3 linked regions of the Saccharomyces cerevisiae S288C genome follow. The gene in region 1 interacts genetically with each later gene. Each region holds a gene or a part of one and is shown in the gene's direction. Other genes may lie near its edges.

What was found.
Region 2: mutations in RRT2 (region 1) and ROF1 together harm fitness less than expected from each alone (positive genetic interaction), as found in Saccharomyces cerevisiae (one large-scale study listed by BioGRID).
Region 3: mutations in RRT2 (region 1) and SKN1 together harm fitness more than expected from each alone (negative genetic interaction), as found in Saccharomyces cerevisiae (one large-scale study listed by BioGRID).

The regions. Positions count from the first base shown.
Region 1 is NC_001134.8:709,476-713,234, forward strand, and holds RRT2 (diphthamide synthase), read left to right. Parts: upstream 1-2,115; coding exon 2,116-3,279; downstream 3,280-3,759. Other genes in the region: chromatin-remodeling ATPase ISW1, read right to left, coding at 1-2,064; snoRNA-binding rRNA-processing protein ENP1, read right to left, coding at 3,529-3,759. UniProt on the Saccharomyces cerevisiae protein: Catalyzes the demethylation of diphthine methyl ester to form diphthine, an intermediate in diphthamide biosynthesis, a post-translational modification of histidine which occurs in translation elongation factor 2 (EFT1 and EFT2).
Region 2 is NC_001140.6:454,807-458,492, forward strand, and holds ROF1 (Rof1p), read left to right. Parts: upstream 1-1,784; coding exon 1,785-3,146; downstream 3,147-3,686. Other genes in the region: FMO1 (N,N-dimethylaniline monooxygenase), read left to right, coding at 1-721.
Region 3 is NC_001139.9:773,222-776,980, forward strand, and holds the start of SKN1 (beta-glucan synthesis-associated protein SKN1), read left to right. Parts: upstream 1-1,971; coding exon 1,972-3,759. Other genes in the region: BTN2 (Btn2p), read left to right, coding at 1-465. UniProt on the Saccharomyces cerevisiae protein: Required for synthesis of the major beta-glucans of the yeast cell wall.

The DNA.
Region 1 (3,759 bases):
AGATGTACCACTTTTGAATACATCGGCGGCACCATGTTGAATCATGGATAATAAAGCATCTTTGGAATCTGCTTTATTTTCCTTCTTTTTCAAAGAAGTCCTGTTTTGCTGGATAACTAATTGATCTAATCTTAACTTCTGGGTAGCCCTTTCTAAAATTTTCTCTTCCACGGAGTTATCTGTGACCAAACGGAATACCTTGACCTGCTTCTTCTGACCAATACGATGCGCTCTATCCATTGCTTGTAAATCTGCTTGTGGGTTCCAATCTGAATCATACAAGACAACGACATCTGCTGACGTTAAATTGATACCTAACCCACCTGCACGTGTCGTTAATAAGAAAACAAACTTCTTAGAATCAGGAGCATTATAATCATCAATGGCTTGAATTCTATCTTCGTGAGCGGTGGAACCGTCGATCCTGCAATATTCATAGTTTCTGAAGTAGCAATAATCCTCGAGAATATCCAATAATCTTGACATTTGACTGAAAATCAGAACTCTAGAACCTTCTTCCTTCAATTTCTTCAATAACTTATCCAAAACTTGAAGTTTGGCAGCGTTATAAACCAAGTGCTCATCCGTAGTGTACGGTGGACCTGGCTCAGCACCATCGAATAAATATGGATGATTACAACATTTTCTAAGTTGCATCATGATATTTAAAAGTCTTGTTTTGGATTCCTTGCTGCCATTAGACCCGTTCACAGCGTCCAGATCCTTTTCCAAAATCTTTTTGTACCATTTCTTCTGCATGCTAGACATACCGACATATAAATTCAGTTCCTTTTTAGGCAGTAAGGATGTTTCCACATCGCTTTTGATACGACGTAGTAGAAAAGGCTGTAAAACAGTGTGGAGTTGCTTGACAATTTTATCCTGATCTTCCTCTGTGCTTTCAGAAGAAAACCAATCGTCGAAATCTTGTGCATCGGAAAAGATATCTGGTAACAAAAAATTTAATAACGCCCATAGTTCATGCAAATTGTTTTGCAAAGGAGTACCAGTAATCAACAGCCTATTACGTGAGGTAAATTCCCTTAAGACTTGCGAAAGCATTGACTCTTCATTCTTGATTCTGTGAGCCTCATCAATGATAATATACTCCCAGTTAATCTTCTTAAGGGGCGACTTTTCTCTTATAATAATTTCATAAGAAGCAATCACAACATCAAAGTCACAACCTAAAAGTTTTTTTTGGATCAGTTCAGCTCTTTCTTCTTTATCTCCTTGCAAAATAAAGGCGTTTACGTCTGGCGTCCATCTATTTATTTCTCTCAGCCAATTATTTAAGGTAGACTTAGGCGCAATGACTAAAAATGGACCTGGAATTTTTTCAATGTACCTAAGATATCCCAGAAATGAAATAGTTTGCAGGGTCTTACCTAAACCCATTTCATCAGCAAGGATACCCGCTATTTTGTTCTTATGCAGAGACACCAACCAGTTGACACCTTGGATTTGATAAGGTCTCAATTGACCATTAACGTAAGCAGGTGATTCTCTGAATTGGAATTCAATGCTCTCATCATCATCCGAGTCTTCTTCTTTCAATAATTCCGCATCTTCTTCGTGTTCAGTCTTTCGTCTACGAACATCTTGGTGTTTGCCTTTGCCTTTGCCATTTGCTTTATTTTCTTCTAATACATCTAAGACCTGCCTGAATTTGGGATCTTTAGCGGCTTTACTTTCAATAAAATGCTTGAATAAACCACTCAAGGATAGCAGATGTTCAAATCTTTTTGTAGTGCCTTCCAGATCAAACTTTTTACCATTAGCATCCTTCAGCAGGTAACGTTTTTTATTCGATTCAGGATCATGTGGAGGGAGACCGACCTGGAACGGTTTTAAATTCTCCAAGTACTCTTCTGAAGCAGTCATAATTGAACCAGATGAAATACAATCGTATTTTTTTTTTTCTTGCAAAAATATGGCGAGAATAATTTTGAATAGGTTCTCATCTTTGTCCTTTTCATTGCAAGAATTGTTTTCGTGTTTTTTTCTCATTCTAGTATAGAACTTGAAAAAGTGAAAATTTGCAATAGCTAACATATAGGCCATAATAGGGTATTTCTACATCCACCTCTAGCTGGTTTTTGCATAGCTATACATATGGACTCTATTCAAGAATCAGATGTACTAAATGCAGTGAAAACAAAACTACCGCCGTGTTGTTTGAGAATATTCAGGAATAAGATCATCCTTGTTGGGACGTATGATTTAGATAAGTCAACTGGATACAGGTCAGGCTCACTGGATGTCTTCACAATGGACCTCAAACTTTTATGTTCGAATAATACGTATGGCGCAATCCTAGATTTGAAGTTATCCCCCTTTGATGATACATTGATATGCACGGCCCATTCGACAGGTAATATCATGCTATGGAGGATACGGTGCACAGATAAGGATGATTTCCAATCAAACGAACTAGATATTCATGCAATTGCAAATCTACAACTCTTTGAAAAAGATGTTCTCATTGCCTCGTGCCATTTTTCCCCACTTGATTGTAAGAAATTACTTGTAACAAATACGGCAGGCGAAGCAGCTACCATTGATATAAGAACACTATCTGTACAGTTCACGGCATCAGCAATCGCGCAGGCTTACTCAAAACTAGATAAAATAGATTACGAAGTTCAAGGTGCAACCGAAAAAGTCATTCATGTTGAATCGGGACAATTTTTGAAACCCCATGAACTCGAGTGTTGGACTGCGGAATTTGGATCTCTACAGCCTTTTCAAGACGTTGTATTTACAGGAGGTGATGATTCGAGAATTATGGCCCACGACTTACGTTCCAAAGAATTCATTTGGAGTAATAATCGTATTCATGATGCTGGTGTTGTTAGCATTAAGTGTAGTCAACCTAACTTTCGAAATAATAAACCCACGTCCATAATAACTGGATCCTATGATGATAACATTCGTTCTCTGGATTTAAGGATGATGGGTGAGTCCATATTTCCTGGTGCAAATGTCCCCACAGTTAATAAATTGGCGTGTGATCTTGGTGGCGGTGTTTGGAGATTTGTTGAATCCCCCATTGATCAGGAACAATCTCACCACAACGGCTCCGATCGGCTTTTAGTTTGTTGCATGTACAATGGTGCCAAGGTGGTGACCATGAATGATAATTCCGATGAGTATTTTCAAATTCAACATTATCTGAAGAAGGGCCATGATTCGATGTGTTACGGTGGCGACTGGTCAAATTCTTTGATCGCAACATGCTCATTTTATGATAATTCCTTGCAAACATGGATAGTTTAGAAAAAAAAATTCAGTCTGCAATATATGGACTAATATATAGGCTAATATATAGGCTAATATATAGGCTAATATATAGGCCATATTTTGATGATTTCGATAGATTATGCATAAAGAATTGATAGGAAGGAACTTGCCTGAACAATAATCTTTTACTCTATATTTTCTACTTATTATACATGATTCAGAAGCTTTGTTGAAAGGGGGAAAGACCGAGCGATATAAAATTGATGAAAAATTGATATTACAGCATCAATTGACATCAATCATTAAATCATCATTAGCTTCCTGTGGATCAACAAACTCCCTGCTGGCTCCTGCCAATAGTTCTCTTCTAATCTCAGGACCGATATCTTTATGGCCTCTTTGACGAACAGTTTCCAACAAGAAATCTCTCTGATCCTGGGTAATATCGTTCTTGTAACGTTGTGCAAATGTTAAGAAAGCCTTGTGCCATATCACTGGGAGTACTCTTGTAGCATC
Region 2 (3,686 bases), on another chromosome or scaffold:
GGTGGGAAACGGCAGTTCCGGCCAAGATATTGCCAACCAACTAACTACCGTTGCAAAGAAAGTATATAATAGTATAAAAGAGCCTGCGAGCAATCAACTGAAGGCCAAGTTAATCGAGACTGTCCAAACAATAGACAGTGCCGATTGGAAAAATCGTTCAGTTACTTTATCTGATGGAAGAGTACTTCAGAATATAGACTACATTATTTTCGCCACAGGCTATTATTACAGCTTTCCATTTATAGAGCCCTCCGTTAGACTGGAAGTGCTAGGTGAGGGTGTTACTGGCGACAAGCACTCGTCTGTCAATCTGCACAATTTGTGGGAGCACATGATCTATGTAAAAGATCCTACGCTGTCCTTTATCTTGACCCCGCAGTTGGTCATCCCGTTCCCGTTGTCGGAACTACAGGCGGCTATTATGGTCGAAGTATTCTGTAAAAGCTTACCGATAACTACAACTTTCGACTCTAATGCCTGCGGAACGCACAACTTCCCAAAGGGAAAGGACCTGGAATACTATGCAGAACTACAGGAACTACTGAATAGCATTCCACGTAGGGTCGGTCATTTCGAACCAGTTGTATGGGATGATAGACTGATCGATCTAAGAAACAGTAGTTATACAGACAAAGAAGAAAGAAATGTGCTTCTAGCGGAACACGCACAAGCCCTAAAGAAAAAAAAAGCACCATACTTCCTTCCGGCGCCACATACTTAACGTAAAAAGGAATGTACTTGTATAGAAAAAACACATATTGTGCCGCTTAATATTTCGTTTCCCTCATGTATATACCTTATCGCTGTTAAAATAAGAAATCTTCACTTCTGCTATCTTTTTTTTTCAAACATTGATTAATAATCCGGCCGTCCGCAGATTGCTTACGCAGAATATACCGTACCGCCACCGTAAAATTAACGAATACTTAAATTTCCGCCTCTTCCGTTTCGGCAATAGCGAACCTTAATGTAAGTTTTTAAAAGGCAGCGCCAAAAATTGCTCTGAAAGGCCTGCAGTGCTTCGCGGCTACGCAGTTCCCATGTAAAAAAAAAAGAAAACTTTCTTTTTGAATCTGGAAAATCCGCACAGGCGCGCCAGCATAAACCTCAGTATCCTGCAAAGGCCATCCTTTTAAAGATCTTAACAACGTATGAATCTGAGGCAGAGAGAAATTAAGCGATAAACGTTCCTTTTAGACTTTCACTTTCTTGGCCGTCATTTAAAAAAAAATTATCTAATAATCTCTAATTTTAAGTTGAAATCACGCTAACATATGACTATGACTATTAACCTTTTTATGTGGAAAAAAAAGGAAGAATATGTTGTAAACGTATTTTAGCCTTGTTCCCGGAACTTTAATCACTCTGGCAACTTTTTAAGTAGTCTGTCTTTTTCTCGGTCGTATATTCCTCAAAATTCAAGAGGAAAGAGGAAGTGAAGAAGAAAGCCTAGAAAAAAAAAATAGGCATTAACACAAAAACGCACCTAAGGGACTGAGGAAAATCAAAAAAATGATAATTGCAGTTAGTAAATCTTCATAATCGACGCCCACTTATTCTTTCTTTATAGTACCGGGTAGGCGGGTAATTCATACGTAGCTGCTGCGGGAGAACTACTATGTATCATTCCCTGTTTATTTGTATGAATTATTATTTAATACGTACATTCTTGTAAGCCCTTCTTCAACAAAACAAACAAATAAAGCGAGAAAAAAGGGAACCACGAATTAAGATAATTAATCAAACAATAGATAGGAAAAGGAGATCGACGAGTAAGCGTAAGAATGATGGATATCAGCCCTACCTGTTATGGGTACATCGACGACGAGCAAGATCTAGCCCTTGTTTTCCAGGGCGTATTCAATGGAAATTTGAGATGCATCGAACGGAGGCCATATGATGCAGAAAAGGTTGAATTAGTCAACCCCGGAAACATTTTTGTTTTCAACGAAGAGAAATCCGGCATCAAAAGATGGACAGATGGTTTTTCTTGGTCTCCTTCAAGAATTTCAGGCAAATTTCTCGTATATAGAGAGTATAATAGGCTGGGTTCCACGCACGATCTACCGCTGCATAATGTACCTGAGTATAATATCTTCGAGAGGGCTCATAGGAAGTATTTTTATACTGGACTACTGAAAAAAACATTTTCTCTAAAATTCAATATGGATCCCACCGACAGCACTAAGCTGGAAACATTTCATCTTATTGCGTACTATACGGAAAAGGATATTCATCAAGGAAGTTTGAGGAGACCTTCAGAAAATCCTTTCTTCCATAAATTTCGACCTTCACAGAAACTATTAGATGCTTTACAAAAAGTTGCTGTAGGAAATGGCAGATCTAACCCGTCTAAAAATAATGAGAGAGGCAGAACCAAAGCTCATAATTATAAAACGCGCAGGTCTTTATCATCTTCTCCGAGCTATTGTGATCTCTTGAGCAATTATAACAACCATCCTGGAAATATTCCAGTTAGGACCGCAGTTCAGTTACCTTTAACCACCTTCAATAACGCTCCTCGAGAAATGCACCAACAGCAGCACCGACAACAGCAACAATATCTCTTACCCATAGATGAACAGAATAAATTACCTCTCCCGTATATGCAGCACCAGCCACAACCAATTGGTGTTTACAATCCTAACTATCAGCCTGGATTGAGACGTACGGTCTCACAACCTATGATTTTCTGCAATACATACAATACTCTCCCGCAACAACCTACTGCAGCACCTTATGAACGGCGTGGCGTGTCGCCTTCAGTGATATACTCCTCCAATACATTGAGCCCAATACCATACCAAAATATCGATCCATACTCTTCGAGGTCGGGTCCTGAATGCAATCACTCTAAGGCGCCTATCGCCCCAACAATGATGCCCCCAGTACACCATATACTTGTGCATGATTACCGACAACCAAAACCAGTCACAGATTCTATTAATCCTCCAAATGTAAACATAACCACCTCCACAACCAACAAGAACCTAGATGGCATTTATATTTTGCCAGCTCCTCGTATGAATCCCCCGGCTCAAACACAATACCAAATGATTCATGCGCCAGACAGCATGCAACATCCACCAACATTTAGTAAAAACAACACATCAAGCAATCCTAAATCCCACCAATACTCAAAGTAGAAGATCAGCATCCTTTCAATTGCTGAAAGGTTCACCTAAAGTACCGCTCATATTCCAAAAGGATTCTTCACTACATAGAAAGGGCAGCCAATTGTGTGTTTTTCAGAAAGGGTTTTAAAAAAACAGGAGGGTGCTTGTTCTTGTTGTTCCCTACCATCGATGGATTTCGAAAAACTATTTATAGGACCATCTGATTTTCACCTCCATCATTGTATCATATACTAACAAGCATATCCAAATTTGTAATTCTATCATGAAATTTCCAGAGAAAGAAACGCAAGGGAACTGAGAAATCAAACCTAAAAACGGTTCTTGGCATTGTTATGAAAAATGAATAAACCAGGGGGGCAAAACAATCGAGAACCCCAATCAAAACCATGTGAGATACCCACTTCGAAAGTTACTGATATTATAACTCTTGTGTCCTCTCTTCTAATACCTTACTTTCACCTTTCTCACGTAGTTAAAGTTGCAACAACACATTTTGTCCTCATCCAATTTCTTCTATAGAATATCCGTTTGCCTCCAGGAGTGAAGAAA
Region 3 (3,759 bases), on another chromosome or scaffold:
AAAGAACCACTAACCAAAGAAGACCAAATAAAAAAATGGATAGAGGAAGAAAGATTGATGCAGGAGGAAAGCAGAAAATCAGAACAGGAAAAAGCTGCCAAGGAAGATGAAGAAAGGCAAAAGAAAGAGAAGGAAGCCAGATTGAAGGCAAGGAAAGAATCTTTGATAAATAAGCAAAAAACCAAGAGGTCCCAGCAAAAAAAATTGCAAAATTCCAAATCATTGCCTATCTCTGAGATTGAGGCCAGCAATAAAAATAATAATAGCAATTCTGGTTCAGCAGAAAGTGATAATGAAAGTATAAACAGTGATTCTGATACGACTTTGGATTTCTCTGTGTCTGGTAATACACTAAAAAAACACGCTTCACCCCTATTAGAAGACGTTGAGGATGAGGAAGTTGACAGATACAACGAGTCCCTAAGCAGATCTCCCAAGGGAAACTCTATTATTGAGGAGATATAATGGGTGATAATACATACTCCCCATCTTTCATTTTTACGGCATTAAATAACTAATTATATGCATCTTATATACTACTATAATTCACTGACTTTATGAAAGGAATATAAATCGGCACGGCAGAAGGCGGATTTATTTTGTTACAATATAACAAAATAAAAGGGCAACAGTAAAGTAGAAATTATTAGTATCCGTGATTTTAGTACAATTATTTGCTTCCTAGAAATCCGGTTTTCCATGTTAACATTTATGCTAGTATTTTATGGTGGAATGGCAAGTGATTCACAAAATACAAGCTACTTTATCGAATGATTGAAATTCATTTCTGCTTGAATAGAATTCAACTATCGTTTATCGATTCTATTTTGAGGATTCCTATACCCTCGAGGAGAACTTCTAGTATATTCTATATACCTAATATTACTACTGTTATTAACAATGGAATCCCAACAATTATCTCAAAATTCACCAATATCTCAATTCCATCTTTAGAAAAATTAAGTTCAAATTAACGGAAACAGTAATCAAGTAAAAGAGCTTTTTTTTTCTTCTCCCCTTCCTGCCCTGAAGATAATTGAGTAAATGTTACGTTGAGAATGGCTTTTTGATATTTCATTAGATTTACTTCATTATTCTTCTCTATTCTCCCCTTTCATCAATTAATTGGGCGTGTGGCGTAGTCGGTAGCGCGCTCCCTTAGCATGGGAGAGGTCTCCGGTTCGATTCCGGACTCGTCCAAATTTTTTTACTTTTAATGAGGTATACTGGAATATTACGGCTCTTTTTTTTTAGAAACATATTCCTCAAATGGGTAAACGGACCCTGGTGCAAGGTGTGGGTGCTGAGACAAATACGATCTGAGTTGTTTTAAAAAGGAAAACAAATGAATGCGTGCCCAAAGCGGAAAATTGGTCAACATCGATGCGTAATTAGTAGGCCCAGGTGAGCCTGTGCCGAACATGTATCTCTGCGCAGATTACTATATATTCCCGAGCATAACAGCATATAGTTTTCTTTCACATAGGCCTTCCTCCAACTGCCATCACTGTACATAGACGTTTCGGCACTGTATATTCTTGTCCCTTTTTTTTTGCCTACTACATTGCTGCATTCAAACGATATCGCTCTGCGAACCGTTTAAAACTGACCAAAATAGGGAGACCTACCTTCTAAGGAGAAAAAATTCGCATTGCTAAAAAAAAGCTAAAAGAGAAAGAGAAGAAGAATATTAAACCAGTATATTCTACTACAACTATCGATTTACTCCGACTACAAAGTGCCTCTTCGTATTTTCAGTCGCTCGAAAAAACAACCCATATTCCATTTGATTCTACGCAGCTGGTAGAAACTTTTACAGGTTTGATAAAATTATTACAATCGTTAGCGGTTACGCAAGGAATAGGAAATAAAGAAACGGTAAATAATAAGAAAAACACAGCAGATCTAAGCCTATTGCACACAGTATATTATAACCATTACTAGCTAGTGTTACATAAACAATAGCAGAATATGTCTGTGCGAAACCTCACCAATAATCGTCATTCCAACAGCGAAAATAGTGTTTCCGGAAGCGAAAACTCCTTTTATTCCTCGAATGAGCAATCAAGACAAAGCTCATCATTAGAACCTGCAGATGGTCAGAACGTTAGGGTGAGCGGTAATCCTTTCCTTGGAAGTGAAGAATTTGACGAAGATTATAATTCACCCAGTGGAGACGATGAGCGGCGTGGGGCAAATGAATATTCCAGTTCTTCATCCATAAATTATAATAACGATCCTAACAGCGATACTTCTCTTCTGGCTAATGAAAAGAACTCACCCGAGAGAAATGGTCAAAGAATGTCAGACTATAAGGGCTATTATGCTAAGACTAACCTAACTTCTGCTAATAACTTAAACAATCATAATAACAATAATTATAAGAACATTATAAGCAGTAGTAACGATAATAGTTTTGCATCACATTTACAGCCGCCGGACAGAAACTTACCGTCTCATCCTTCTTCAAATAATATGAGTAGCTTTTCTAACAACAGCTTAATTAAGTCTCCACCACCTTTTGACAGATATCCGCTAGTAGGAACGAGGCATATTTCAGCGGCTCAATCTCAGTCGCAGAACCTTATAAATGAAAAGAAAAGAGCGAATATGACTGGCTCATCTTCTTCTGCTCACGACTCTTCATTATCATCCACCAACTTATACATGGGCGAACAGGATTTTTCGCCCTTTGGCGGTTATCCAGCTTCCTTCTTTCCGTTAACGTTGGACGAAAAGGAAGACGATGACTACATTCATAATCCAAATGTCGAGGAAGAAGCAAAGTTAGATAGAAGGAGGTTCGTTGACGACTTCAAACACATGGATAGAAGATCTTTCTTGGGGCTTCTGGGTATTCTATTTTTATTTATGGCTGGTATATTTATTTTCATTGTATTACCTGCAATTACATTTTCCGGGGTAGTTTATCATCATGAACATGTTCATGCGGCAAATTCAGCAGGATCGTCGTCTTCTAATACTACATCCAAGTCATTGACTGAATATCAATATCCTCAACTTGCGGCTATAAGGACAACTTTAGTTGATCCAGACACACCTGACAGTGCGAAGACAAGAGTAGCGAAAGATGGATCTAAATGGCAGCTGGTGTTTTCCGATGAATTTAATGCTGAAGGTAGGACCTTTTACGATGGCGATGACCAGTTTTGGACAGCTCCTGACATCCACTACGACGCTACGAAAGATCTTGAATGGTACTCACCAGATGCCGTTACAACTACAAATGGTACCTTGACGTTGAGAATGGATGCATTCAGAAACCATGACCTTTATTACAGATCTGGTATGGTACAGAGCTGGAACAAACTCTGCTTTACAGAAGGTGCGTTAGAAGTTTCCGCGAACCTCCCTAATTATGGTCGAGTTACAGGATTATGGCCTGGTATGTGGACCATGGGGAACTTGGGCAGACCAGGTTATTTGGCGAGTACTCAAGGTGTTTGGCCTTATTCATATGAAGCATGTGACGCTGGTATAACACCAAACCAAAGTTCCCCAGATGGTATTTCTTACTTGCCGGGACAAAAGTTGAGTGTTTGTACTTGTGATAATGAGGATCATCCAAATCAGGGAGTTGGAAGAGGCGCACCGGAAATAGATATTTTAGAAGGTGAAGCTGATACAATTTTGGGTGTTGGTGTTGCGTCACAATCTCTACAAATTGCTCCATTTGATATATGGTACATGCCCGATTATGACTTCATCGAAGTTTATAATTTCACCACAACAACTATG